4 linked regions of the Pelodiscus sinensis genome follow. The protein of the gene in region 2 purifies or fractionates together with the protein of the main gene of each other region. This does not show direct contact. Links are inferred from orthologs where the notes say so. Each region holds a gene or a part of one and is shown on either strand. Other genes may lie near its edges.

Evidence for each region.
Region 1: the proteins of CDH5 (region 2) and JUP purify together in Homo sapiens (affinity purification with western blotting; 3 studies listed by BioGRID and IntAct, with this or other methods). This does not show direct contact. The link is inferred for Pelodiscus sinensis from reciprocal best matches to the Homo sapiens genes CDH5 and JUP.
Region 3: the proteins of CDH5 (region 2) and CTNND1 purify together in Homo sapiens (affinity purification with western blotting; 3 studies listed by BioGRID and IntAct, counting the BioPlex papers as one, with this or other methods). This does not show direct contact. The link is inferred for Pelodiscus sinensis from reciprocal best matches to the Homo sapiens genes CDH5 and CTNND1.
Region 4: the proteins of CDH5 (region 2) and CTNNA1 purify together in Homo sapiens (affinity purification with western blotting; 4 studies listed by BioGRID and IntAct, counting the BioPlex papers as one, with this or other methods). This does not show direct contact. The link is inferred for Pelodiscus sinensis from reciprocal best matches to the Homo sapiens genes CDH5 and CTNNA1.

What each region holds. Positions count from the first base shown.
Region 1 is NC_134739.1:9,927,965-9,934,856, reverse strand, and holds the start of JUP (junction plakoglobin), read right to left. Parts: upstream 3,014-6,892; 5' UTR 3,001-3,013; coding exon 2,858-3,000; intron 1-2,857. UniProt on the Homo sapiens protein: Common junctional plaque protein. The membrane-associated plaques are architectural elements in an important strategic position to influence the arrangement and function of both the cytoskeleton and the cells within the tissue.
Region 2 is NC_134722.1:19,395,631-19,402,799, reverse strand, and holds the start of CDH5 (cadherin-5), read right to left. Parts: upstream 3,023-7,169; 5' UTR 2,844-3,022; intron 1-2,843. UniProt on the Homo sapiens protein: Cadherins are calcium-dependent cell adhesion proteins. They preferentially interact with themselves in a homophilic manner in connecting cells; cadherins may thus contribute to the sorting of heterogeneous cell types.
Region 3 is NC_134714.1:128,674,632-128,681,834, reverse strand, and holds the start of CTNND1 (catenin delta-1), read right to left. Parts: upstream 3,010-7,203; 5' UTR 2,864-3,009; intron 2,535-2,863; 5' UTR 2,476-2,534; intron 1-2,475. UniProt on the Homo sapiens protein: Key regulator of cell-cell adhesion that associates with and regulates the cell adhesion properties of both C-, E- and N-cadherins, being critical for their surface stability.
Region 4 is NC_134727.1:3,751,257-3,758,652, forward strand, and holds the start of CTNNA1 (catenin alpha-1), read right to left. Parts: upstream 3,015-7,396; 5' UTR 2,856-3,014; intron 2,635-2,855; exon of another isoform or gene 2,613-2,634; intron 2,491-2,612; exon of another isoform or gene 2,221-2,490; intron 1-2,220. UniProt on the Homo sapiens protein: Associates with the cytoplasmic domain of a variety of cadherins. The association of catenins to cadherins produces a complex which is linked to the actin filament network, and which seems to be of primary importance for cadherins cell-adhesion properties.

The sequences.
Region 1 (6,892 bases), on a different chromosome or scaffold from region 2:
CAGAAATAAGGGTGACAATATGCAATCCTCTCCCATCATAGCTTTGTGACCTCCTTTTGGATTGGGACCCCCCCGTTTGAGAAATGCTGTCTGAAGGGCTTTACATGTTTATGCTTTGTGACAACCCGATGAAATCTAAAAATTTAAGTATCTGATGCTGTGGATTTCACAAATGCTATGACTGCGAAACTGACCAAAATAGACAGTCTCTGTTCATCTGAGGAAGCGGGTTTTGCCCACGAAAGCAAGCTCATGCTTTTTATTTTGTTAGTCTAAGGTGCTACAGGACTACTTGTTTTCAAAATGGACAGTGAATTTGGTAGGAGACATCACCTGCTTGCTGTATTTTTTTCTTCCAGTGAAGAAACACCACCTCCCAGAACTATTTCATCAACATGGCTACATCTCTGCTGGGGCGTGGTTTTTTCCAAGTCCCATCCCACATCCATATGCCAATATAGTTTTCAAGTAGAGGCCAAGCTTACATTGCAAATCACAACTGTTTGTCAGGCAATTGGCAATCTAGATACAAGGCAAGTCTCTAGGGCTACTGCTGGGGACTCCTATCAGGCAATTTCCCTACAAAGAGTCTACACTTAGCTTGTAACAGCATCTTCCTTCCAACCAGGGCCAGATTAAGACCCTTAGAGGCCCTAAACACTGAAAAGATTATGATGCCCTCCCCATATGTAATTCAAAATAAAAAGTATCAGAGGGGGAGCTGTGTTAGTCTGAATCTGCAAAAGCGGCCACAGGACTCCTCGCCACTTTTTCAAAATAAAAACAATACTATACCGTAAAAATCTCTTTTTTTTGGTGCCCCTAAGCACGGGCTTAGTCTGCCTACTGGGTAATCCAGCCCTGCTTCCAACCATTGCAAAGTGCTGGGAGCCCGATGTGTGATCGTGCTTTGCAAGAACATACACTTCAGTCAGTCACCGCATGCAAGCTAAGAAAGCAGGTCGGGAGCATTTTATAATACATGGACAGGAGACCTCAGAAAACTAATATGTCAAACGCGCAAATACACCCTGAAAGCTGATTGTATGTTGATTCACTGCACAATCAATTACACAGAGGAAGGATTTCTTAAATGCCTGTGGCTCATGCCTCAGTAAGAGATTGCCATCTTAAGCTCGCATGGCGAGAGCCGAGCCAGAATGACACCCTTCCTATCACAACAGTTACAGAAACAGCAATGGCACTCTCCTGGAAAACCCAGTCAAGGAGACAATTTGCAAACTTGCTCCCCAGGAATCCAGCAAGAGAACAGGAAACGCCCATTGTGAGCTTTAAAAAAGGAACCATTTCAAGGACCAGCTGAAATAGATTTGCAGCACGCACCCCTCAGCAGTTTTTGTAATTTGTCATCCAGGAGTCCATCAAGTTGCACTGCCTGAATGAAAAGACAGCTAATTAGGTTTGAAAACGCAAGACGCCTCCAGTTTACACCACTTCCCTTTCGGTTTTAATGCACAGTCCAGCTTTCTGGAGCAGTTGCAGGATGCAAACAACAGGCTCCTGTCTCATTCTCCAGATTCCAGCAGGATCCAATTTCTCTTGCGCGAAACAGCGTCTCACGAGAGAGGTTCAGCAGCCACCCCGCAAGCCTTCTGCTCCAACAGAGACTCCAGGCACTTGCAAATTAGACGGCTAATTTAATACCGATCTCTGGAACTATGTAACAGGCTGCCTACAAGTGGTTTGCCGTCAGCCATTAACTGCTTTGATTAATAGCGACCTCAGCGTGTGTTCAGTGCAGGGTGATGAGGTTACTGGTGACACTCCTGTTTTGGCAAGGCAGGGTTCCCTAGAAGGGCCACACGGAGGGGGGGGGGGAGGGACACGACACAGCACCTGGCTGGCGCGGACAACGCGGGACACAAACATGTGCGAGTCTGAACCGCCCCCAATTTCCCACCGGCACGAACTTTACCGGGCGCCTGGACGCGTCCTGGCTTCGCTTGCGCCAGATTCCCCCAAACCAGCACAGCCCCCCAGCAGCACTTCGCTAATCCCACCGCAAGCGGCCGGGCTTTCCAAGCTCGCCGAGACCGCCCCCTCCCCAAGTTCGCCCGGACCCCCCCCTCCCCGAAGTTCGCCGGGACGCCGCCTGCCCCCAAGCTCGCCAGAACCCCGCTGCGCCCCAGCCCGGAGCCCCTCAAGCTCGCCAACACCCCGCTGAGCCCCGCCCCAGCCCGGAGCTCCCGAGGAGCCAGAGAAGGCCCCACCCGGCCCGGACAGCTCGGTTCCCAGGGCCAGGGCGTTGGCTCGGAGCAGCCGGCGGCCCGCGGAGCGGACACGCACCAGCTCCTAGCCGGGCAGACGCGAGCCCGGGTGAAGCGCCGCCTCAGTGCCCCCCCTTAACACACGCACACGTTCAGCCCTCCCTTTGCACACGCGCGCACACTCAGCCGCCCCGCTTTGCACACTCACCCACCCCCTTTGCACACGAGAGCACAGCTCTCCCCCTTTGCACACGAGAGCACTCAGCTCTCCCCCTTTGCACACGAGAGCACTCAGCTCTCCCCCTTTGCACACGCACACGCGCACACTCAGCTCTCCCCTTTGCACACGCGCACACTCAGCTCTCCCCCTTTGCACACGCGAGCAGACTCAGCCGCCCCCATTGCACACGCACACGCGCACACAGCTCTCCCCCTTTGCACACGCACACGCGCACACTCAGCTCTCCCCCTTGCACACGCGCACACTCAGCTCTCCCCCTTGCACACGCGAGCAGACTCAGCCGCCCCGATTGCACACTCAGGCCCCCCCTTTGCACACGCACGCACACTCAGCTCTCCCCCTTTGCGCGCGCACGCACTCTCGGGGGAGCCCGCGGGCCGACCCTCACCTGCGCTGCGCCGCACCGCTCTGCCCCGACACTGGCGGCTGCCCGGCTCGCACCCACCAAACAAAAGGCGAGCGCAGCCCGCAACCCAGCCCCGCCCCCGCGGTCCCCAAGGACACAGGCCCCGCCCGCTCGTGGCCGCCCATTCATTGGCCCGCTCGCCCTTCAGTCACGCCGTCGCGGGCGGGGGCTGCGCCGCCACCTGGCGCGATGGAGCGCCTCCCGATTGGCCGCCCACAAAGCGCAGGGCGGACGGGCCCGCGGGCCGGAAGCGGATTGGCGCTTGGTCGGGGAGCTGGGACGCGATTGGACGACGGGGGTGGCGGTCACGGCGGGGAAGGGCCAGTGGGCGGGGGAGGGCGTGTCCCTAGGCCAGGTGGGACGGGAGACGCTCACCTGGATGAGGTCATGCAGGTGGGGGCGGGGCTTCGGGCTAGGAGGGAGGAGCCTGCGAAAGGACAGGGAGCTGGGGGAGGGGAAAGGGCGAGCCTGGGCGAGAGCTGCGGGGCAAGGGGAGTCTGGGGGGTAGGGGCAAACCTGGGGGGTGAGTTTGGGGCAGGGGAAAGTCTGGGGGAATAGGGGGGCAGAGGGAGAATTGGGGACAGATGGGGGTGGGGGTGAGGGAGCCTGGCAGGGGAAAATCAGGGCTGGAAGCTGATCAGCCCTCTAAGAGCTCTTTGCCGCACATTCCTGTGCACCTTCATGCAGCTCCCCCCCCCCCCCCAAAGCAGTCCTATTCCCCACTAAATAAATTTAATGGAGATTGCCTATCTCTTAGAACTGGAAGGGACCTTGAAAGGCCATCAAGTCCAGTCCCCTGCCTTCACAGCAGGACCAAAGACCATCTATGACAATTTTTACCCCAAAGTCCTAAATGGGCTTTTTGAGGATTGAACTCACAATCCTGGATTTAGCAGGGCAATGCTCAAACCACTGAGCTACCACCTTGTCCCCCATTACCCCTGTTCCTGTCCCTCCTCCCCCAAAGATACTCCCCCGACACATCCAACAGCCCCATTTACCTTCACCTAACAGCAGTGCCACTCTCAGCAAAGGGCCCCTCCCATAGCACCCCACTCTCCAGTGAGGCCCTGTTCTTAGGAGCCATGTTGGTCACGTGCCTCTGAGCACTGCGGGATGGTGATGGAGAGACACAGGCTGTGCCTAAGTTCGGACCTGGAGAAGGCGCTTGCCGTGGACAGCAGCAATGGCTACCTCTGGGGTGGCTGTGCATGGTTAAACTGTTTGAGCGCAGGGGGCCATACCATGTTCAGCAACCTCATGCTCAAACCCCTCCTTTGGAGCCAGTTCAGTGCAGCCTTCTTTATTCAGCAACAACTTGGTGCGCTAGCTCCAGCCACGCTGCACAGTTTTCTGGGTTCTCTTCTCTTCATCTAGCACTGGCTTCCCTTCTGGACCAACACAATTCCCCAATGGTATGCAAGAGCCTTCTCCTTTGCCTCTCTCGCTGTCAGCCGCACGCTCCTGGTGTCATTCCATTTCTCGCCTAACTTCCTGCAAAAATATTTGTTTCTCCCTTGTGTTCCCTGTAGCGCAGCACAAACCCAGACAGGAACAACTGTGCAACCAGTCCGGAGGAGGCGAAATTGAAACAGTCACTTTTCTACTCCAGAGTCCCAGGGACGGCAAAAACGCTGATCAGAAATGATAAAAGACTTCCCATTAAAAAGCAATGAGGAGAGCATGTGCCTGGCCTACAGGGAAAGGAGCGAGCTGGTAGGAAGAGTATCTCACAGTTTAACACCCTGCCACCAGCTCACAGGTGACGCTGACAAATGGCCAGAAAAATAAACCCCAGCAGCCTCATACGCCTTTACTACGAACAGATGCTTGCTACAGCTGCCAAGGACTTGTACCTGAGGCATCTGCCTCAATTGCTCTCCGATAACCCTGCGTCTGGCTTGAAACATTCATAAAGAATCTTGAATTTGAAATATTTTGGGACTTGGGTTCTTTGTCTCTCGGAAAGGTTTGCAGAGATACAGTGTGTCTTGAAAGCCTCTGTAGCCAAAATAGTGGTGACAGGTGTCATATTAAGCACTGCCGAGAGGGAAGAAGGTGGCATAATGACACATTTTTTTATTATTACAACAAAATAGCAGCACATTAATCAGATATCTCTGGCTGGGGGTTAAGAATAGAAGGTAGAGTTCTTTGAAGGGGTCAACAAATGTGGAAAAGGGGGTTCCAGTAGATATAGTGTGCTTAGATTTCCAGAAAGCCTTTGACAAGGTCCCTCACCAAAGGCTCTTACGTAAATTATGTTGTCATTGGAATAACAGGGAAGATCCTTTCAAGGACTGAGAACTGGTTAAAAGACAGGAAACAAAGGGTAGGAATAAATGGTACATTTTCAGAATGGAAAGGGGTAACTAGTGGTGTTCCCCAAGGGTCAGTCCTAGGACCAATCCTATCCAACTTATTCATAAATGATCTGGAGAAAGGGGTAAACAGTGAGGTGGCAAAGTTTGCAGACGATACTAAACTGCTCAAGGTAATTAAGACCAAAGCAGACTGTGAAGAGCTTCAAAAAGATCTCACCAAACTAAGTGATTGGGCAACAAAATGGCAAATTAAATTTAATGTGGCTAAATGTAAAGTAATGCACTTTGGAAAAAATAACCCCAACTATACATATAATACGATGGGAGCTAATTTAGCTACAACTAATCAGGAAAGAGATCTTGGCGTCATCGTGCATAGGTCTCTGAAGATGTCCATGCAGCGTGCAGTGGCAGTCAAAAAAGCAAACAGGATGTTAGGAATCATTAAAAAAGGGATAGAGAATAAGACGGATAATATCTTATTGCCCTTATATACATCCATGGTATGCCCACATCTTGAATACTGCATACATATGTGGTCTCCTCATCTCAAAAAAGATATACTGGCATTAGAAAAGGTTCAGAGAAGGGCAACTAAAATGAGTAGGGGTTTGGAATGGGTCCCATATGAGAAGAGATTAAAGAGATTAGGACTTTTCAGCTTGGAAAAGAGGAGACTAAGGGGGATATGATCGAGGTCTATAAAATCATGAGTGGTGTGGAGAAAGTGAATAAGGAAAAGTTATTTACTTGTTCTCGTAATACAAGAACTAGGGTCCACCAAATGAAACTAATAGGCAGCAGGTTTAAAACAAATAAAAGGAAGTTCTTCTTCACACAGTGCATAGTCCATCTGTGGAACTCCTTGCCTGAGGAGGCTGTGAAGGCTAGGACTCTAACAGGGTTTAAAAGAGAACTAGATAAATTCATGGAGGTTAAGTCCATTAATGGCTATTAGCCAGTATGGGTAAGGAATGGTGTCCCTAGCTGCTGTTTGTCACAGGGTGAAGATGGATGGCAGGAGAGAGATGGCTTGATCAGTACCTGTTCAGTTCACTCCCTCTGGGGCACCTGGCATTGGCCACTGTTGGCAGACCGGACACTGGGATGGATGTACCTTTGGTCTGGCCCAGTCTGACCATTCTTATGTTCTAAGTCTAGTTTTACTCCTTACTATGCCTTTGACTGGTTCAGGAGTCTCTTTAGCCTCTGATTTTGGAGTCTTCAGTTCTCAGGTGCTCTGATTTTCGGAAGAGCACAGCTCCAATGAACTTCACTAGAGTCACGATCGCTTGGCACCTTGGAAAAGCAGGCGCAGTTGTCACTAACTGGACACCCGAGATCACTAGTCACTTTGGACCTGCTCACCAGGACAGCTTCTTCTTCAGGCGAGAGTGCCCACCTGACACACCCCTCCCAGGGGAAAGGGCAGGATTTGTTCATTTACGGCCGGAATGTGCTTGGAGAGCCTCAGCATTGTTAGAAACACAAAGTATTTTTGTCATGTCTTGATTATTATTGGCACTTAGGCCAATGTCCCAATTAATCCATCTTTTGAGAGCTTCAGGTGAAAGATGCCAGAATAGAGAAAACGCGATTACAGAGTTACTCATTGCTTGCCAGTCCTGGAAATGAATATACACACATTATATATAACTAGTTAGAGATTTGGCTAATGGGACCGGCATGCCAC
Region 2 (7,169 bases):
CTGCCTGCCATATTGATATTTCATGCAATAAAATAAGCTCCAGAAGATAGTAACATATTCTTGAAAGTATGTCACAGGGCTCTGAAAAATGTGTTAAAAAAACCCATACATCCCTCAATTTGCCTGGTTTCATGCTTTGTTACAAATTTGAACAAGCTTGCTATAAGGTATATTTAAAGCTCACAATCTGGTTGAGTAAACATAAGGTCAGTGAATGGGCCAATTTATGTTTTTGCCTTGAAGCTGTAGCCTTTAATGGAAAACTTAGCAGTTTTTTATGGGATTTGAGTTTGGGGATTTGAACAAACCCCAAACTCAAAGCAGAAATTGGGATATGAGTGGGTTGTGAAATTCAGAAACAAAAGAAAATGTTAATGGAAACCCCCTGATAACTGAAATATTTTAGTTGTATGCAGCCTTAACCATGGCATTGTTCCTTTCCGTGTTTCCACTACAATACCAAGAATTCTGGAAGTACGTTTCCCAGTAGTATTTTTGAGAATGGATCTCAGAACTATAAAACTGCTCACATAAGGTGAAATGGTGGCTTCAGATCACCATGACTTGTGACCGTCATTATGGTGGGTCCTTGTGTTTTGATGTTGGTAGTAAATATGACACTAAACCAGTTCTCCCAGACTTGATCGCTCCAAAACGTTGTCGTCATTTCAAATCTAAATCCAGAATTGAGGTAAGCAAACAGCTGCTATCTTTGTAGTAGGCCACACTTGTATCCCTGCATCTGAGTGAAGTCAAGGTCTGTTTGGAATCCAGATCTAAATCCAAATTCTTGGAAGGATTTTCAAAGGCGTAAATAGGAGGTAAGCATCCAGCTTCCAATGAAAGTCAGTGTGTCTTGGGTGCCCGTCCGCTTTTTGTGCCTTGCAAATCTCCCTCCTCCCCCTATTTCTTGGGCACATCTCTAGTTTGCACAAATAATGACTGACACATAACAGTGCAAAAAGGAAATTAATTCTACCAACATATGTGCTCAGCAATTGGGGCTCCTCTCATTTTAAACATACTGGAATGAAGAGTGAAAAGTACTTTGTGCACCTTTTTAAAATGCTTTCCTCCAACACAAAATATTTCCAGTTCACACATCTCATGAAAGACATTTTTCCCCACTTGTCATTAGAGTTTGAATCTATCTAAATTAAGCTCCAAAGTGATCTGGAATGTGGATACACTTACATTAGAAACAAAAATGATGTATAAATGGTAAAACTTTAGACTAATCCTTTTTGAAAACCCAACCACCACTATTTGCTTGATTTTAAACCCCATCTTGCAGACAAGAAATAGTTTATTTTTTCTATTTTTCACTGGAAAAGGAAGATTTGTTTTCTTTTAAATATTATTTTATGTTTATATAGCCAAGCTCAGCAAAAGCTACAATCATATGAGCTTCCAAGGCAGAAATTATACAAGTCCCTTCACATATATCCTGTTTTTAATTACTCTATTCTACTTCAACAAAAGCAGGATATGAGGCAAACATATTATTTTGACAAATACCTTCATAACCGTTAACTGTTTGTGAAACACCTTCTGCTTAAGCATGTTCAGTACTGAGCCCTGCATCTAGCCCTATAGAAAAATCACAATTTTAATATTTAATATTTAAGATCGGAGAACTATTCACAAAAGCAGCCTATTCCACATTTTTTTTTCTTGAATTTCACATTCTTTCCTGTAGCATGGCATGCAGCACGGTGAGGTATAGTCCTCCCTGACTATAATTCCAACAGACACAAAGATGCATTGATTCCACTCTTATTCATAAACATTTGTGTCTTTGCAAGTTGCATGGAAAAATACAACTGAGGGACCTGCTACTATAACTATAAACATTATAGTTATAACAACATAAAAGCTCTGTCAGCGGTTTTCCTGTTTCAAGGCCCTCTCCATAAAGTAACTTACCAAAAAACTAGTAAGTTTGGAGAGCTGAGAGCCAGAAGCTTCTACTTCCAGACCAACAGATGATTGTAGGGATTAGGTATAATTAAATGGAACTTAGAACATCAAGGGTAACATTTTCAGAAGCACCTGAGTCCCATTTTTAAAAGTTGCCCAGGAACTTAGGCCCCAAAATCTCATTGAAAGTCAATGGGGACTTATATTCCTATTTGCCTGAGTCCCTTTTGAAGCTTTAAATCACTTATAAGTGATTTAAAGTGCCTTGTCTTTACACATATGTAGTTCCAGCTATGTGAAATCTGCATAGAGTTGCCTTTTGAACATGAGAGCTCTAACTTTTTGGTTCTTAGCTCCAATAGCAGTAATATTCCTTTCACAATTTTAAGTAGGTAAGAATACCCAAGGAACTCTGCAACCTTGAGCCAATGTATTTATGTCTGAAGGAAGCCAGATATAACATAGCATACATTTTTTCCAATGACAAACTAGTAAGCCTATTACTGTCTGCACTGCAGCTGAAAGGTCCCCAGATACATTTTGTAGTATTGATTCTGTTATTATGTCTCCTTGTAAAAGCCCAGTGACAGCATATCCTGGTATCTCAGCTTGCATCATGAACCACAGGTATAAAAAAGATATATTTCTTCAAGTCTAAATACTCCTTACAGTGTGAGAGTATTTTTCTGTAGCCTCAGAGAACCTGATTTTAATTTCATGCCAGTGTAAACTAATAGTATCTCCACTGATGCCAATAGAATTATGCCCAAGTTACAGCAGGATCACCTTAGAGGATGCTGCAAAGATATCTAATGACAGAATATTAAGTAAATAGTCCATCTCAGAACTTTAAACAGAAATCAAAGCAATAAAAGCCCTTAAAATTTACTTGAAAAGAGAAAGAGTACTCCACTGTCCCTTACCTGTTACACAAGAGGCGGTGAAGCTTTACTTTTATCCAAAGTTAGACAAACTAAATCAAAAGTATCCAGAAATCTACACAGCACTACTCAGAGTGAAGAACAAGTAACAAAAAAATCAGTTTTCATTGTCATTAAGCAATTCTGGGAGTGTTCAGCTTTCCAATCTCCAAGGTTCCCCAGCTGGGAGTCAGCCTTTTCCCATCCTGCATGCCAGCATCCTGTTATTGTTCCAAACCTTAGTAATGCCAATGACAGAAAAGAGTGGAGGAAACCAGATAAACTTAGGCTTATTATTACTATGCTTACCTTTTCAGAGGGACAACAAATAAGTATCTGAATAAAGGGAAATGGACTCTACCAGAAATACAAACCAGTGCTGGTGCTTAATATGTTTAGTACTAAACAGTTTAAAACAATCCCAGAATGAATACTTAGTATGGTTTATTTTCAAATGTTTTGTGTTCAAATGGAACAAGATTCTTCAATATTTTAGTAAGTCAAAGCCATCAGGATTTGTACACCAGAAACAATGATGAATGAAGTGCTCATCAGTCAGTTGGGAGTTCCCATAAACTTCCACTACTTCCCTTGGTGCAGAATTGATGAGTTTGCTAGTGGCATGAAAAAATATTTAGTAGATTGGTGTATACTGAAATTTTGGAAAATAAACATGAGTCAAATTCTGCTCTTGACAACAGCAGTATAGATTTGAAGCAACTGTGGTTCACACCGGTATGTTTGAGAGCACAATTTGGTTGCATGTCTTCAATTTAGGGCATGATTCTCCTCTGCCTTGCACTTTGTATATTCATTTCCACCTGTACAGGAAGGACACAGAAATGCTGCTGTTCGGATTTAGTTGCAAAGCACTAAAGAGACCTCAAAATTTAAGAAAAAAACTCTAATGGGAAAACTTTTGAATTAAATTGTTGCATTGCAATTTTTAAAGCTGATGAATATTTAGGGAGAGGGAAGGGGGAAAGTTAAACATTCCAAGTTGAGTGGTTGCAATTATGCTTGTGGACCTGATTTATTCTTCTGTTGCAGTCCAATGGGAGTTTCCCAGGTTTAGACCACAGTGAGTTTAATGGGCATTGCACCCATGAAAGTTAAGGTAGTTCAGTGTGAGAAGCAGATGGGTCTTCATAGAGCTCACATAGGCCTCGTCTACACTAACCCCCACTGTCGATCTAATCTACGTGAATTCAGCTATGCAAATAGCATAGCTAAAGTCAACATACTTACCACAGTGTCTTGTGTGCAGTAAGGTCAGCAGGGGCTACTCTGCCATTGACACCAACTACTCTTCTCATCCTGGTGGAGTATTGGCATCGACTGGGGAGCACTCGGAGATCAATTTATTTAACCAGACACAATAAATTAACAGCCAGTAAATCAATTGCTGTAGTGTCGATGCCCAGCGTAGTGGATACAAGTCCATAGAATATTTGTGCTCTGTTCTGGGACAGCAACATATACTTTAATTTCTCCTCCTACCCTAAATGCAAAGAAGAAAATGTAGACCCGCTATTTCTTTTACCCTGCAAGCCAGAGAGGAATTACTTTATTAAATAATTCAGGAGCAACTCTGAGAAGCATGAGATTAAAAAGAGACCAATGTCTGAGGTCTTACAGGTATGTTATAATAAATGTAGCCAAATGTGCAACATATTTTATAGAAGACTTTAAATAATAACATCCTGCAGTGAAATACTCGCTTGCCCCTATGCTTCATCACAATTTAGCAAAGGTAATGGGATTGATTTTTCCAGTTTTCTAGAAGACTGGTCTTTGGTTACATTATTTCACATTTTTATGACATGCAGTGGCAAAGATGAATAGCTCTTTTAAAATTTTGATACATTAATTATTCAGGAAGGTTAAGCACCTAATGAGCGGATATTTTTCAAAGTCTTCTTTAAGGAGACTGATTATAATTAGGTTTCCTCATAAGAAAATAAGCAGTTTCTATTTCACTGCTGAGTGAAGAGGAGAAGGAGAGATGGGGAGGATGTTAACTGCAGTTCACTGGAAAACAGTCATCTGCAGATGATGCAGCTTAGGCAATAGACTCTGGTACCCAGAGCAGATGACAGTTGTAGCTAGTGTTTATATTTGCAAATAACTCTATTTTTTGGATTGACAGAATGATCTTTGTTTAACAAAGGATGGTTGCTTAAAACATAATAATGTCGTCTTTACAGGTAATTTCTAGTCCAAGTTTTGCCAAATCCATATAGTCATAATCAACTTCTGTCTCACTTAAAGCCTTTATTCAGAGTCTACAGAAGTCAATGGGAATATTTCCTTTGCCTATAGTGGGCATTGGAGGAGTCCAATAGTGACAATTTGGCCACATCTCAGAGAAGCTATTTTAGCTGCCCTTTCTTCCCATATGTATGCAGGGACTACAAACCAATATTTTCCTTCGGATCCTATAGAAATTAATGGAGAATTGTCTGCCTCAGCATTCTGAAGGATAGTGGGAAAAATCAAAACCAAGTAACACTATTTTTCTATTAGCATTTAGAGTCTAAAAACCTTATTAAATTTCCACTGACCCTTTTCTCACTCTATAGATTTTATCTCTATGGAACCCTATAGGATTTAAAACATTATTATGAGGTAATTTGAGCTTGGATATTTTAGGATAAACTATCTTTGGATACTTAACCAAAACCAGACAATCTCCTAAACTTTCAGGAACTTAGTCTTTCTCACAGTTGTGCTTTCTGGGCAATAAACTCCAGAGGCATCTAATTAAAGTGGATTTTCAGGGGTGTTGAACACTTGGGCTACGTCTACACTGGCCCCTTTTCCGGAAGGGGCATGTAAATTTCACCAGTCGTCGTAGGGAAATCCGCGGGGGATTTAAATATCCCCCGCGGCATTTAAATAAAAATGTCCGCCGCTTTTTTCCGGCTTTTTTAAAAGCCGGAAAAGAGCGTCTACACTGGCCCTGATCCTCCGGAAAAAGCGCCCTTTTCCGGAGGCTCTTATTCCTACTTCAAGTTTGAATCCATTGCCTCTTGTCTTGCCCTCTTTGGCCAGAGCAAACAACTTTCCTTCATCTTTTTTTTTTTTTTTATGGCAGCCTTTCAAGTATATGAAACACTGCTATCATGTCCCCACCAATCTCCTCTTTCCCAAACTAAACATACCCAGCTCCTTCTGTCTTTGCTCACTTCCATCCCTTTGATCAGCTTTATTGCTCTCCTCTGGATACTTTCCAGTTTCTCTACATCCTTTCCAGACAGCTGTGACCAACACTGGAAACTCCAGCTGAGGCCTCATTAGCATCTCATGTATCCTATCACCCATGAGAGGTGGGTAATGAAGGCAAGAGAAGGAATGTCCTACCCAAACTGACATAGGTAACTCCACCCATGCTCCACCCCAGGTTAGGACCCTTCCTTACCTGAATGCTGCAACCTGCTCTTTGCCCAGTGCTGGGGCTGGTGGCTAGAAGGAAGCGGGACACCTGGGTGTCGGGTCTGACAGTGTAGCCCATGCTTCCTGTCTGCCTGGTGCTCTGGCACTGGGAAGGCTGATGCAGCCAGGCAGCTACACAGCTAATAGCTCTGGGGCCAGAAAGGCTGGGTGTATGGCTACCCTGAGCTGGGAAGACTGGGGCTGTGTGGCAGCCTGGCCACCTGGCCACCCAGTGCTCTGGGTCCTGGAAGGTAGGCACTGTGCATCTGCCTGGTGCCTCAGGGTTGGGAAGACTGGGACACCTGGAGCTTTGGGGTCAGATAGGCTGGGAGTACAGAGAAAGGGCCAGCAGCTACAATGCCCAGCAACCTGGCACTTCATGCCACCCACCTTGGTAGCCAGCGAGCAGCCACAATGGAGAACTTGGGGAGCATGGGGCAAGGGTCAGTGGCTGTAGTGGGGGCTGTGTGGGCTCTAGCGGGCATGGAAGGGGCTGGGCTTGCCTCTCCAAGCCAGCTGTTCACCCACCATCCATGCTATCACCTTCTGTGATTTGCATGATTTGCCTCTGTTAATGCAATCCAAAATTGCATATGGTTGGTATGCTTTTACTGAGGTACCAAACTTTAAGCAGACAAGTTCAAAACTGTAGACCTCTGTGTTTAAACAGAAAAACTTTCTAGAAGTAGATGGGAATGTGTAGACAGTGCATGGAATCCTCAGTGAGTAATGTGATCCATTCAGAGTGGAGGAGAATTAGAAGATGGAAGGGCTCAGAGGACTCAGACTTTGTGCCAATAAAAGATGCTGAACTAGTCACTAAGGACCCATGGCAGTTGTCTGCAACTGTAAATCTCTTCTACCTGAAGGAGCATTCAGCCTTTTCCACTGATG
Region 3 (7,203 bases), on a different chromosome or scaffold from region 2:
GAATAGATGCATTGCTAACTGACAAAGAGTGCTGCCAATGAACACAGGAAAAAAAATATCCTGCTGCACCCAGCACCCCTGAGAGCAGACTGCTGGGGGATTTTCCTTAACTGGAGACATTTCAATGTCACTTACTGAGCCAGAGAGAAAAGGGGATTCGTTTCTTAAAGAAAAGGCTGCTACATTACCAGGACTCTTTGGGGGAGGGAGAGGGGGGCCTGGGCTGGGGGCAGGGGTATTGATGGACTCCACCCAGCAGTTTTGACCCTCCCTAGAGTCACAGTTCCTTCCCTGCAAGAACAAAGGAGGAGGAAAATTAGATAACAGTTTTAAGATTTCATCTGCCCAAGGTAGATCTAGTCTGTGCGCGCGCACACGCACACTCCACAGGAGAAAATCTTAGAAAAGCATCACTGAAAAGATTTACAGCACATAACCCTGGGGCCAGAATTATCCCTCCTCCCAAGGAAAGGCCTGCACGCCCAAAATACTCTCTGCTTCCAAAACATATATAAGCAACTTCCCTTACTCTAAACACAAATGAAATTATGATGCAGGAAAAGAGAGCAGGATACTAGTTGCAACACCGGCCACCCCTTACTCCAATATTAAATACCTGTCTAAAGAGAGAGACATTCTCTATCCTGCTCCATGTGCCAACTAGAAGATTGGCACAGAAAGGTCACTTGTTTTGTTGGGGTGTGGAAAGAGGCTGAGGGGTCAAGGTTACACGGTTCACTCAAAGCCCAGATACTTCAAAGGTATACTTCAGGACTTAGACTTCAGGACTTAGACCTCAGTACGTGTATCAGCAGCACAAGACTGATCATAGGAAAAGGGTTTTGCAATTAGCTTTGGGTGTGGGAAGTACTTCTTTCACAGTAATAGCACCACTCAAGGCCACCCAGAGACAAGTCATTCCTAATCTACTTGTAGAAGTGTTTTTGTGTTCTTTCCCCAGCTGTCAGAGCACTTCCTCTGGGCTCCCTGGCTGTGAAAGGCTACTAAAGCCAATCATACAAATGGTTCAAACCAGCTACCCTCTTTCACAAACCCTTTATATCCAGATATGGAAGGAGTGGGGGGAAGAATAATATGTGGGGTACTAAATAGAACACCAGCCATCACTGAAACCCACAGACCCTTTCCAAACCATCCTCTAACCATTCAAAATAGAACACCCTCTTTTCTTTCTCTACTGCATCCAAGACCAAACCTCAGGTGGAGGCTGGGGGGGGAGGGAACACCATACAGGTACTTAGATATAGAATATGGATCTGTACATTTCCAGAAACTAGACTGCTTACTGTTTCTCTCACCACAAAAGTTTCCCCAGATCTCTGGCCACAATAATCTTAAGTCTAACATAAGACATCAGAAGGTCTTCACAGCAAAGTGAGAGAAAGAGAAGAGAAAGTATGTTTTTAACATATTTAGTAGACAGTGCAGACTTCCTATAATAATTGTAAACAGCAGCACAGACTGTTTCTCTGCCCCAGTTTGTTGCAATTAAATACTACACTAATTCCAGGCTTTTTGTATTTGAATGGAGGCATTAATTCTACAGATGACAACTCAGGACTAGAAACTAGCTGCATGTCCTAGTTCCCAATGAGCTGGCTACAGAAGTACATTTTTAGCAGTATCTAAAAGCCTCAAACCTCCACACACTTCCAAGAGACTGAACGCAAGAGCTCAAGGAAAGTTACAGAGAAACAATTATTTAAAAAAAAATACAATCTGTTAGACTGAGTTCCTAAAGTAACTGCTTCAAAATAAGTTTGCTTAAAGCCTCTCTTAAAGTTTGCCTTCTTCCCCATTACGTGTTAAAATAAGCCACGGCTTAGGTGGAGAGTGCTGACCAGGTTTTGATTGCAAGTCTTAGCCTCTGCTAAGTGTGGCAGTCATTCCACACCCATTTCAAGTTGTTGATTATAATTTAGAACCCGTGAAAAATATCCTTTCCCCCTCTCCCCCCGCTCAAGCCTTTTTTAACTCCACCTAAAGATTAAGAGGTTATAACTCAACATGGATTCTCTTTAGAAGGCTAAGAGGAGAAAGGCCCGCACCCAACTGCACCTGGGGGAAAAAATGGGATCCACCCAAGCAGAAAGTGTGGATTTTAGACATGGAAAGAATGGACCGCAACACTCCCAACAAGAACACCACTTAATAAAAAACACTTGATCAACTCCACAACCTTCCTACTGCAGCTCAGTTTTCCCAAAGTTTTAAAGAAAACATATTAAAGGGTGCAAATAAAACCAAGAGCCCACTTCGCAAACTGGATCACATTCCTCCCCCAGCCTGCTCAGAAGACACCACAAAAAACAACAGCTCCCCAGCAATTCAACCCAGGCAGAGTTGTTAGCTTGCAGTACAAAAGGAGCAAAAATCCAAAGTGAACAACAGGCGTTAAAACAAGAGATGAGATTTTTTTTTTAAAGCAACAAAAAAAACCAACATGATTCTTACCCTGGCTTTCTCCCTTCTCAGGGGCTGCGCTGGCGAAATCCAGGAGTTTGTTTCTCCACCTTGTGAGGTTTTTTTTTTTTTTTTTTTTTTTTTGAGTACCAGGGGGGGAAGAAATAAAAGCAAAATAAATTTTAAAAGTTGTCAGTGCGGCTGTTCCTCTGCCTTATAACTTCCCTTCTAATCTCTCAGGGTGACAATATGCCAGTCTCCAACAAAAATTCCCCTTGGGCGAGAGCTTTTTTTTGGGGAGGGGGGGTCGCTTTGCAAACACACAAAACTCTATGGTGGACTTCTCCAACAAATCTCTAAAGGAAACGCAAGAAGCAAAACCCGGCCAAAATGTGTTTTAAAAAAAGAAAACCAATAAATGTAGTGATTTTTTCTCCACCTCTTTCTCTTCTGGGATCCTTCCTGGCTTTTCCCCCCTCGCCTCCTCTTTCAGATCCAACACCTAAAATGGAAGTTGCACCCGACCCAGCCAAAGACAAGCTGACGGGGGTGATGGTAACAAACTGAGCTTTCCAAGCCCAACGCCCAACCCCTCTTTCCCTAAGTGATGTCAGCGTCTACGAAGCTCCAATGGGAAGCAGGCATCAATAAGGGACCCGGCATTATCCAATAGGAAACTTTATTGTAGGGAATAGAAAAAAGAAAAGAAAAAGGGAGCAAAACCAACAAAAGGAGGAGGGCAGAAAATAACTTTTGGGGGTGGGGGAGGAAAGAAAATAAAAATATATTACAAAAATCAGTTGCAAGGAAGGAGGTTAAAACAGGCTTGGCATGATGATAAATGTGTTGATATGATCTGCAATACACAGTCCAGTCTCTTTTTATCGTTTGTGTTTCTTTCTCCCACTCATCTCCTCTGCCTGTTTGCAAATGAGAATAAATAACTTCATTTTTATATATCGCCTGTGCTATTTATGTGTAAATATATTTTCATCTTTGTAAGTATCACCTGAAAAGGAGGGAAAACAATGGTACAAAAAGATGGGTGGGAAGGTGTTTGGATCTGGGGAGAACTGAGGATTTAAAATTCAACCTTGAGTCTATTGTTTTTGTTTTAATTATGTGAGCCTAGATTGTGTGAGCCTAGATTGTGTGATCAGCTCTTGTTTGGCTTTTGCTGGTGGCAATTAAGAAACTGAATTTAAAAATCTAGAGTGGATAAGGAATTTACTTCACTCCTTTTCCTTTCATATCAGTGAAGAAAATAGCTATTTTACTTTGCATTACTAATTTAATCCAATTCACAGTTTATAGATTCCAGACCATCAATTAAGAGAGAGACAGAGACAAAAGTTCTAACAAGTTTTCTTTCATCATAGCCCTAAAAGTTGTTTATTCTGATTATATTTGCAAATAAGTGTCAAACTGGAAGGTACATAGTGCAATGTGGTGCACCAGATTAAGCGGGGGATTTGCTGGCAGGGGGGCATTACCTAGATATTTCTATAAAGTTTTTTGAAGAGTACAGGATCTTTTGAAAAAGGGTTTTATTTTCAAAAGATCCCTGTTTAAACACTTGTTTTTCTTTCAAAAAGCCCATTTAAAAAAAAAAATGTGGCCGCCATTATGCAAATGAAGCGTGGGAAATTTAAATCCTGGCTTCATTTGCAATTTCGAAGTGTCTAACTTACATCCCTTTTTCGAGAAAAGGGATGTAATCTAGACACAGCTTCAGGGTGCAGTACAAGGAATGGAAGGGGAGAAAGAGGGTCAGGTTTCAGGAGTAACTATTAGTTTGGTGTGACAGCAGGTGCAATACTAGACCGAGCTGCTACCAAACACAAGCCCTTTAACACTCGTTGTTGGCCTCTGTCTATGTTCAACAAAGATCTCTTCACTACAGCTCTGTCAGCCTGCTGCATCATATATCGCTTATGAAACATAGGCACATCAGTGTAGACTGGCCATCTGCTACTTTTTCTCCCCTGTTCTGTGCTTAGAGCGGGTCTAAAAGACACAGTGGTGAAATCAGTGATGAACTTGGCCTACATTAGAACATTCGCCCTGCCTTGTACTGAGAGCTCAGCAGATCCTTCCTCCCAGAATCCAACAGGACCAAGAGAGGTTGCCAGTACCAAGCACAATAGCGAAGTAGACAATATGCCACTTAAATCAACAGATGATGCAAAGGGGTCTGGTATTATTTCCATTGACTTCAAGCGGAGTAGGACTAGGCACTTAAGGGAGAGTGTTGTACACAGCTTTTAAAAATCTCAGAGGGGTAGCCATGTTAGTCTGTAAGGCTACGTCTACACTGCAATGCTATTTCGGGATACTGAAGTATCCTGAAATAGCTATCTCGCGTCTTCTCAGCAAGCCTATGCGGGCTCGCTATTTCGACGTTACTGTAAACCTCATTCTATGAGGCATAAAGGACATTTCGGAATAGCACTTTAATTTGAAATTTGGCACCAAATGACGAAATAAGCTATTTTGAAATAGCATCAAAATGAGATACGCAATTTGCATAGCCGAAATTGCGTATCTTATTTCGAGTTACAGTGCTGTGTAGGTGCACCCTAACTGAAAAAACTTTAAAAACAACGAATGGTCCTGCAGCGCTTTAGAGACTATCTACATTTTTTGTTAGTCTCTAAGGCTGCGTCTAGACTGGCATGATTTTGCGCAAATACTTTTAACGGAAAAAATTTTCCGTTAAAAGTATTTGTGCAAGAGAGCGTCTATACTGGCATGTGCCTTTGCGCAAAAGATTTGCTTTTGTGCAAAAGCATTCGTGCCAGTGTAGATGCTCTCTTGCGCAAGAAAGCTCCAATGGCCATTTCAGCAATCGGGCTTTCTTGCACAAGAAATTAACGTGGCTGTCTACACTGGCCCTCTTGCGCAAGAATACTTGCGCAAGAGGGCTTATCTCTGAGCAGGAGTGTCGGAGTATTTGCGCAAGAACTGTTGATTTTGTACATTACAAAGTCAGTGTTCTTGCGCAAATACTCGTGGCCAATGTAGACAGGTGGCAAGATTTTGTGCAAAAGCATTTGCTTTTGCGCAAAATCATGCCAATCTAGATGCATCCTAAGGGTTACTGCAGGATATTTCGTTGTTTTTTAAGTACACAGCATTGAGTGTAGAGAAATAATTCAAAGGGATCTAGAGAGTCAAGAGATGGGGTAGGAAATAACAACACGTTAGCTTTGAAAACTACAGCTAGTCCAGCTGAAGACACCTGTTTCCAAAGTCTAACACTTTGTGTGGGGGAGAAACCAAGGAAGCATTACTGCTTTCAGAGACTTAGGACTGGCAGCTACTGCTTAAAGTAGACAGGAGCTGGAAGCAAAAGAAACTGGAGTGATTGGAGGCTGAGCACTTCACCACACAAAACGGGAAGGTGACAGCTTTAACTGTGGGTCTGAGTGGAACCACATCTGGAATATTGGAACTAATTCTTGGATCCACAGCACAAAGGGGCTGTAATGCTGGATTAAATAGCTGCCTAGGAATTTCCCAAGTCCAGGGGGAAACCCAAGTGATGTAGAGTCTACATGGCTCAATTCACACCCTACCCCTACTCCCAGCTGGCCTCAGAATCTAGAAACCATAAAGATGACATAAACCCTCTTTGCTGCCCCCCGCCCCTACTCAGGTGAACGTGTTCAGTTCTGAGTACCATGTCACCAGAAAGTTATTGACAAGACAGAGGGAGATGAGGAATGAACAGCAGATTGATTTATGGGGAAAGATTAAAAGAGGTAAATATGTGTATAGCTTGGTCAAGCAAGGAGTACATGATAACAATAACAGCCTGCAAATATTTGAAGAGAGTAATCCCCAGTGAGGGAGAGAAAGAGGCTGGTACACAAGGGAGACAGCAAAGAGGAATGGGATGATATTTTAAAAAGGAAGCAGTTAGGACAATTATCTGGAAAAACCTCCCTACTGTGAGGTTTGATCTGCTGCAGATTCACAATGGGCACGTCTACACTGTGGCACTATTTCAGGATACTTCCAGTATCCTGAAATAGCTATTTTGCGTCTTGACAGCACGCCCATTATTTCAAAATTGCTTTTGAAATAATATTTTCAAATAGCTCACTATTCTGACATCCCTGTAAACCTCGTTCCATGAGGATTAAGAGACATTTTGGAATAGCGGTTTATTTCTAAATTTGACGTGAAGACAGTGTCAAATTACAAAATAAGCTATTTCAAAATACACTCGAAAAAAGCTACGCAATTTGTGGAACTCAAATTGCATAGCTTATTATGAGCACAAGTGCAGTGTAGACATACCCAAAGGTATTTAGGCACCTAACTTTCATGAGGATCTGTGCCTTCAAGCCTGTGAATTCCTCCCCATCCCACTAAAGAGGAGAGTTAAGAACATCCTTGTCCTCCTCCTTTTCTTCCAGCACTGAATCAAAGGGCCAACAAGAGGGACTGCAGCAGGAGCATGCAGGAAACAGCACTTCAGGGACTGCTCTAGTTCAGCTCTCCTATGCAGTGCTATCCACCCTGTCCATCTTCCTTGGCAGGAGGCTCCTTCACTTCACTTCCAATTTCTTATGCGGGGAGAAAGAGATAATAAATTATTCTCCCCCTCCAACCTGAATTATGGGTCCTACTCAAGGGCAGAGAGACCTTGCACCTCCAATTTACTCTAAATCCCTTGATGAGGGGGGTGAGAGTAAGTGTTCCTAGCCGCCGCCACCACTCCCCTCCCATGTCTCTAGAAGATGGAGATAGATGTGCCTTCATTTTCTTCCG
Region 4 (7,396 bases), on a different chromosome or scaffold from region 2:
TCACTTCATCAAATCTGGCCCTCTTTGAAAAAAAGTTTGGGCACCCCTGCCTTAAGCAAATAACTTTTCAAGTTCAGTGGAATAAGCATTTGGGGATTTCCAAGAAAGGCATTGTATTACAAGAGAAAAGGACACAAACATTCCAGTTTCACGTTAGCAACACAGTAAAAGTCAGCCTGCCATATTCTATTTGATGTCTAGTTAATTCAGAAGATGTAGGAATCTCAATTGAGTATCCAACACTACTCTATTGATGATTTAACAAGCATTTGCACAGGGGACCATAAAATGCTCTGTCCTCACCCGAGGCTTATCTTAATATCTATGGATTGCTCAGTTTCATTACAGATGACAAGTAACATTTCCAATTAATTCTTTGCAGGAGAAAGGAATTTATGAAGCCACCCACCTCCACTGTCTGACAACAGGATCTAATTTCAATTCATGTTAAAATTCCACTTAAATATATTTCCAGTTTAAATACTGCCATTGTTGATTCTCTTGTAAAAGCTATTTCTCAATTAGTTGCAAGGAGGCACTCAAGTAGTTGATCTATGCAGAAGATTTGTTTAAATCTCTTATCCTCCAATTACTTGTTATTACTTCATTCAGAGCAATTACCATGGAACTCCTCTGCATGAAGAAACTGCATGGCAAACAACATCTCAAACTTCACAGGAAGAAACCAAATGTGAAGCTACTAATTAATTGGTTTACTTTTTAAGACCTCAAGAAGCTTAAAAGTTTTATATTAAACATAAAAATATTTTGTTGACTATTTTAGTTAGTGTGAAGATAAGAGTTCTAATTCTAACTCTGTCCACCTTAGATAAACATTTACTCTGCTTCAGATTCCTATTAGAATTGGTAGAAAAATAAAGCCATTTTCATGGAAAAGCTGAGATGTTCAAAACTGACCTTTTTAACTACAAACTTTTGGGGGGGGTGCAGAAAAACTCTGTTTTGGAAACTTGGGGGGTTTGTTTATATTTTAAAGCAAAATGGGCACAGTCATTCTTAAGCCACATATATAAAGCATTTTCAAAATAGGCTTTTTTTTAAACATCAGGCTTTGTTCAAAGAGGTAGCTAGCTCATTATGTATTTACAATATACTAATACTTAGAGATCAATCAAATTGCAGGCCTATTGTACTAGTCATTGTACAGACAGAGGAAACAGTCTCTGACCCCAAAAGCTTACAATCCAAGAGGCAAAATAAAACAGGTAAGAGAAATGTTCAAGCACAGTGGTAGAGGACAGGCGGAGAGGAAGAGTCTTGGGAAATAGACAATAAATGCACAGTTCTTAGGCAAGGCAAGGTTTGTAATTACATATCACTGCCCACCTAGAAATTTTCAGGCTGTGGTTTTCAGTATCTGCACAGGTATGTTTTGAGGAATGACAGAGGAAAATATAGTGACTTTACAAGTTTGGACAGGAAGGTTTGCTACTCCTCATGCACAAGGAGGAGATAGTACCACAAGAATTCAATTAAGCCTAGCATTAGTTAAGTAAAGATAGGGAACAAATTAGAAGGATTGTCAATGTACGTTTGTCTATGATGAGTTTGGAGAAGGAGAAGCCAATGAAGGGACTTAAGAATGGAATGGGGTGGGGAAGAAATGACAATCAAGCCTAGCTCCTTATCTTTGCTCCTGCATTAAATGCAGACAGTTTGCAAGCATCAAGGCCAGACAAGATTAGTGCAGTAGTCAAGTGATATAGGAGGATCCTGACAGCATGTGACCAGTAGTTCATAGAAGTAAATGACCAGCACTACTGACCTGAAACAGAAGTGTCCAGAGGGAATCACCAAGCAACTGTACAGATATTGCATAAGTCACTTAGGAAGAGAAATACATTTTGTTGTAGGTTCCTTACACTCTACCTCCACCCAGAACTGGTTCTGAAACTTTACTATAGTATGTATATTACTGGGGTTCTCGTGTAACACTCTACCTCCACCCAGAACTGGTTCTGAAACTCTACTATAATATGTATATTACTGGGGTTCTCGTGTAACACTCTACCTCCACCCAGAACTGGTTCTGAAACTTTACTATAATATGTATATTACTGGGGTTCTCGTGTATTTTTCTGCTTTTGCAAGGCAAAGGTAGACTACACAAGCTAGACATACTTAAAGTGAAAACCCATCCAGCGACACAGCAACACTCCTTTGCAAAGCAGAGTGAGTTTTCAGGCCCTGGGTACGTACCACTTGCTCTCGTTCTTCACTGCAGAGTCCAGAAAAGCCACTTCAGTGTCACAAGACAAGAGCAATGTGTCGGTTTTGGCATGAGGCCTACGTGACAATTAAGCGACTGCGCTAAGGGAAGCGCTGTGCTGGTCTGGCCGGCTACAGGCCTCCCGTTGCCCAGTCCAGCCACGCACCTTCCGCGCCCCACCGACGCCGCTGGGCAGAGCCCCCCCGCAGACGGCGGGGAGGACGCCACCGCGTGCCCCTCGGAGCGGGGGGCTACGGGCGGGCCGCAGGTCCCACATTCAGCCGCGCTGTGCACGGATGCGGAGCCCCCCCCATGAGGCGGGGCCCGCGAGGGGGACACGGCGCCCGCCCGCGTCTGGAAACTTTTCCGCGGCTCCTGTTACCTGCAGCGGCTCGAGCAACAATCGCTGAGGGGCCGGGCGGGAAACGCCCTTGGGGCCCTCCCGCGGGGGGGGGCTCACTGCGGGGCCCCTCCCCCCAGGCCGAACAAAGCCGGGGCGGGGGCTGAGGCGGCGGCTCCCCCCCCCGCTGTGAGGAGCGGGCCGCTTCGCGCCAGACCCGGGCGGCTCCAGGGGCCCCGCTGGCGGGGGGCGGGGGGGGAGTTCCCCACTCGGCCGGGAAGTTACCTGCGGGTCCCGGAGGCGCCGCTGGAGCCGGGGTCGGAGCCGCCTCAGCCGCTTTGTCTCTGCGCCGCGCCCGTCCCGGCCGGAGAGGAGGAAATGGGCCCTTCCGGGCACCTCCCCTTACGGCCCGGCCGGCTCTTCCGGGCACCTCCCCCGGCAGCTCGCCCGGCTCTTCCCGGGACCGCCCGCCCCGCGCAGGTGAGAGGCTGGGAGCTCGTCCCACGCGCGGCGGGCGGAGCGGCCGGGGTGGGAACAGCGCGCAGGGGGTGAGTCAGAGTTTCAGGTGAGAGGAAGGTGCCTGCGCGGCTGGCGCTGGGGCGGCCTGGGGGGCAGGGGCGTGGAGTGGTAGGGATGGAAATAAGGGGGCAGAGGGCGAGGGGGCAGGGAGTGGGGTGAGATGGGGGCAGAGAGGGATGATGGGGCAGAGGGCTGGGGGGCAGGGAGTGGAGTGAGATGGGGCAGATGGCTGGGGGGCAGGGAGTGGAGTGAGATGGGGCAGAGGGCTGGGGGGCAGAGAGGGATGATGGGGGCAGATGGCTGGGGGGCAGTGAGTGGGGTGAGATGGGGGGGCAGATGGCTGGGGGCAGACAGGGATGATGGGGCAGAGAACTGGGGGGGCAGGGAGTGGGGTGAGATGGGGGCAGATGGCTGGGGGGGCAGTGAGTGGGGTGAGATGGGGGGCAGTGGACCTGGCTCCATGGCACAGGAAGTTCAAGCTATTAATAGGGTCTTCCCTATGGGAATAAGGTGCATCCTGGTGGCTGCAGAGGGTGTGGCTAGAGGAGGCAGAATGAGACAGGACAGCTCCAAGAGTCAATGTTCAGGTCTAGATTTCAAGTCCCAAGGCAGTGAGGTTAGGCCAGGGGCTCTCATTGTGCATTACACAGTAAACTCTTTCTGACAACAAAAATGATGACATGTTCCCACGATGGTGAACCAAAGCCTGAGCTTTCCTGAACGGGGCGGGGAAAGGAGAAACCAAAGCCAAAGTCCTGCTGCTCCAGTGCGGGGTGGGGAGAGGTGAAGCCCAAGAGCTTCAGCCGCTCGCAGGGGGGCTGTAACCTGAGCCTTGCCATCCAGGGCTAAAGCCTTCAGTCTTCTCCTTTATCCCTGGGCCACAGCAAATCTAACATCAATCTTGGTGACCCCATTAAAATGGAGTTGCAGCCCATTTTGGGGTCCCAACCCACAGTCTGAGAACCACTGGGCTAGGCATTGGCTCTGGGATTTGGGTCAGCATTTCACAGACTGATGCCCAGTTATGAAGTTTGGATCAAATCTGGGTTCAGATTTCAGCCTCTCGTCTGGTGAAGGGGTTTAGATCTGGCATTTGACCTAGTCCAATGTCAGGCACCAGAGGAGAAATTCAAATCTGGACCTAATTCCGTAAGGGGGGGGTCCAAAATCTACCACCCCACTACTATAATGATGAGCAGTGCTTAGATAGATAAACCTATCCATAACACTTGCACTCCATATCTCCTCTGAACCAGAATCACTGGAGATTACTCAAACCTAACTACATTGGACTATTGAACAAACAGGTCATACTCTCTTTCACTCTTTAACTTCAGTGGGTGAAGAAAACTTAGGGCTCCATTTCACTTTCCTATCAAAGGCGTGTGTGATAGTATCATCTGTTTCACCTAAACCGCTGTTCCTGTTTTGGGTGCTGTGGTTTCACACCACACTTCCTAGAGTTTCACATATAAATAAAGCTAGCCTCAGTCAAAATCTGTCTTACTGTACTTGCTTTCATAAGAGCATTAGGCAAAAGGGTGCAACACTCACCTGTGATCTCAGTTCATGCGGTTTTGGGTTCAGGCCCAACGCTACTTCTGAGTGAAGTTTCCAGAAAACTTGGGTTGCTTTAAGATTTCACAGGGGCAAAGAGGGAAATGCCCTGGGCAGGACCTAGTGATGCAAAAAGGCCCAAAGATCTTGCTGCGGGTACTGCAGCAGCGGAGGCAGTGAGAGCCCCAAGTCCTTTAAATCGCTGCCAGAATGAGACGCAGTGCGCTCTGTCCGGCACTATGGCTGGGAGGGAGGCACAGTGCTTTCTGGGCAGTACTGAGGGCTCCCTTCTACTTGAGGCTCCACACCTGCCTTGCCCAGGTCCTGGCGAGGCTGTTGACCCTGCCAATTTCACATCTAATGCTTGGAAAATGTACCCTTTTGCTCAGTGCTGAGACCAAAGCAGGTGCAGTAAGGCTAGTTCTTTTAAAACCCAAGGGGGAGAGAATGTAAAACCACAGGAACCAAAACCAGGAGAGGTTTAGGTGAACTTTACATACATATAATGGCTTTAGAATGGTTCAGACCAACCTGGGGTCACATTGATGTTCTAAGATCACATTGGTATTCAAAATCCACATTGGAACTTTTGGATCTGGGCAATTCTCCAGTTCCATGTTTTTTGAACCTTAACATTGTTTGATAAACATGGGCAGAGTTCTGAAGTTGTCAAAGCTTGACAGCAGACATGATTTGTGTGTTTCAAGTTTCATAATAAAAGTTTGATGTGTCTTTACTTTTTATAGTCTCTAGAACAAAAGTGGAGGGTAGCAGGTGGTGGGTGTATGTACACACACACACTCACTCTCTAAAATTAAAAAACAAATGTTGCAAACTCTTCTATTCCACACAGGTTTCATTTTTTTTCCTTTATAAAATCTAAATGTTATATATTAATATTTTAGATGGTGTTGCTTTTTTTTAAAGTTGCTGTTTTCATGCAAATATCTTAAATAAGGCAAATACTTTAAAGCTGTGTCATAAAAGGGCTGTCAAAGCTGTGATAAAGCAAACAAGGAAGATTTGAGGAAATGATGCATATTATTTTAAATGTTTCGTTGAATCAGAGCAAGAACCTTCATCAGAAGAGAACAGACTTTTAAGAACTGACAAAGTTTAAACTAACTGAGGTAGGGTTGGCAAGTTTGTGTATGAGGAGGTTTTTTTCAAAGTCTCTCACAAAGCAGCAGTGTGAGAAATTGACCCTTTCTGTGTCATATTCAGTTGGGTTTTTATTGCTTTTCATAACACATTTTGAGATGGCTTTTTATATGAATGTTTCTATAGAAAATGATTGCATTGCAATAGTGACTGAATTAAAGTAATGTTTCATATCTCAAACATGTCAGTTACTGAGTCATCTGAATCCACGCGCTATTTCTGTTTTCTGGCCGATGTCAATCAAAAACCACAGCGAGTCTTGTCAAGGAGAATATAGCTGTGCCCTGTGTGATTTTTGCAGGGGGACACACAGCATTTCTCATCCTGATGTCCGCAGGAGCCATGCTGTGGGAACAGGAAGGATTTCAGAGCAGGCACCTATCCATGCTTTGCAAGGATGAAGGTTGAAATCCCCTTAGATCATGGCCCCCCTGATATTAACAAGTCCGTGGAAGAGATAATGCACCAGGCAGAGATTTCATATTTAATCCCTTCCCATAGGTTTAACCAAGAGCAGGGAGCAGTTAGCCCCAGGACAGAGAAAGGAGAATCGTACCCATCATCCCAAAGTCCTTAATGAAAATAGACTGCATGCAGCAAGGAAACCATCCTGTCAATTTGAGTTTTTCCACTGCAGGTCCTGAGTTCAGGACTGTAACCTTGGCTGAGAGACGATTTATTAAGATAGCACGAACTGTTCATTGACAGTCCTTTAAATAAATAGGCTCTTTAACAACAGATTTTTAAGGGCTTGGGGTATTCAGCTTGCACTAAACCATTAATATTTTCAGTGTCATTGGCAGCAGGGAATCCAATCAATTATTTTTGATCTGTAGCATATTCTCAATAAAATTCAGTCTATACTTCAATGGCTTGCTCTCTTTCATTAATTCTTTTAATATTATGTCTTGGCTTCCTGCGGTGGCTTCTGCATTCAGCACTTCCCACATGCTTTGGGGACAAAATGGTGGCTAGAAATCAGCACAACATTGCAGGCAATAATCCCTTTTAGACAACTAAGGATAGAAGATTAAGTGGCAATTCTGTTGGTTCGTGTACGTATCACAAGTTTAAATATACAGCTGTCAAAGCTAAAGATATAAAAATGAAGTCACCTCGGGGAGGAGACTGGAGTTTCTGTCCTGATTAACAGTTCTCCCTAGATTATAACAACAGGGATCTCTATCACTCTGAATAAAACAGAAGGTGTTGATCAAACAAAATGCCCATATCAACAGCAAGAACTCCTAAAAGAGAAGTCATCATTAAGAGTGAAGCAATGCTTGAAACTAGTCAAGTTAAAAAAAAAAAAAACTAGCTAAAAGTTGTCTTAAATGGTACATTTGCTGCAGAGTTCTCAATGCTAAGACTTGTGGTTTTGTAATCACATTTTTTTTTCTTTTCTCTTCTCTTTGCTATATGAAAGACACTATTACATAATAGAAGTAAAATGGGCAATACAAAATGAAGTCAAAAACAAAAAAAGCCTTTCATTCTCCAGCCTCTTTCAGGTGCAGACATTGTAGGTGCGATAGCAATAAGTAAAACTTTTCTAGACCAAAATGGATTTTTAACTTACATTATAGTAG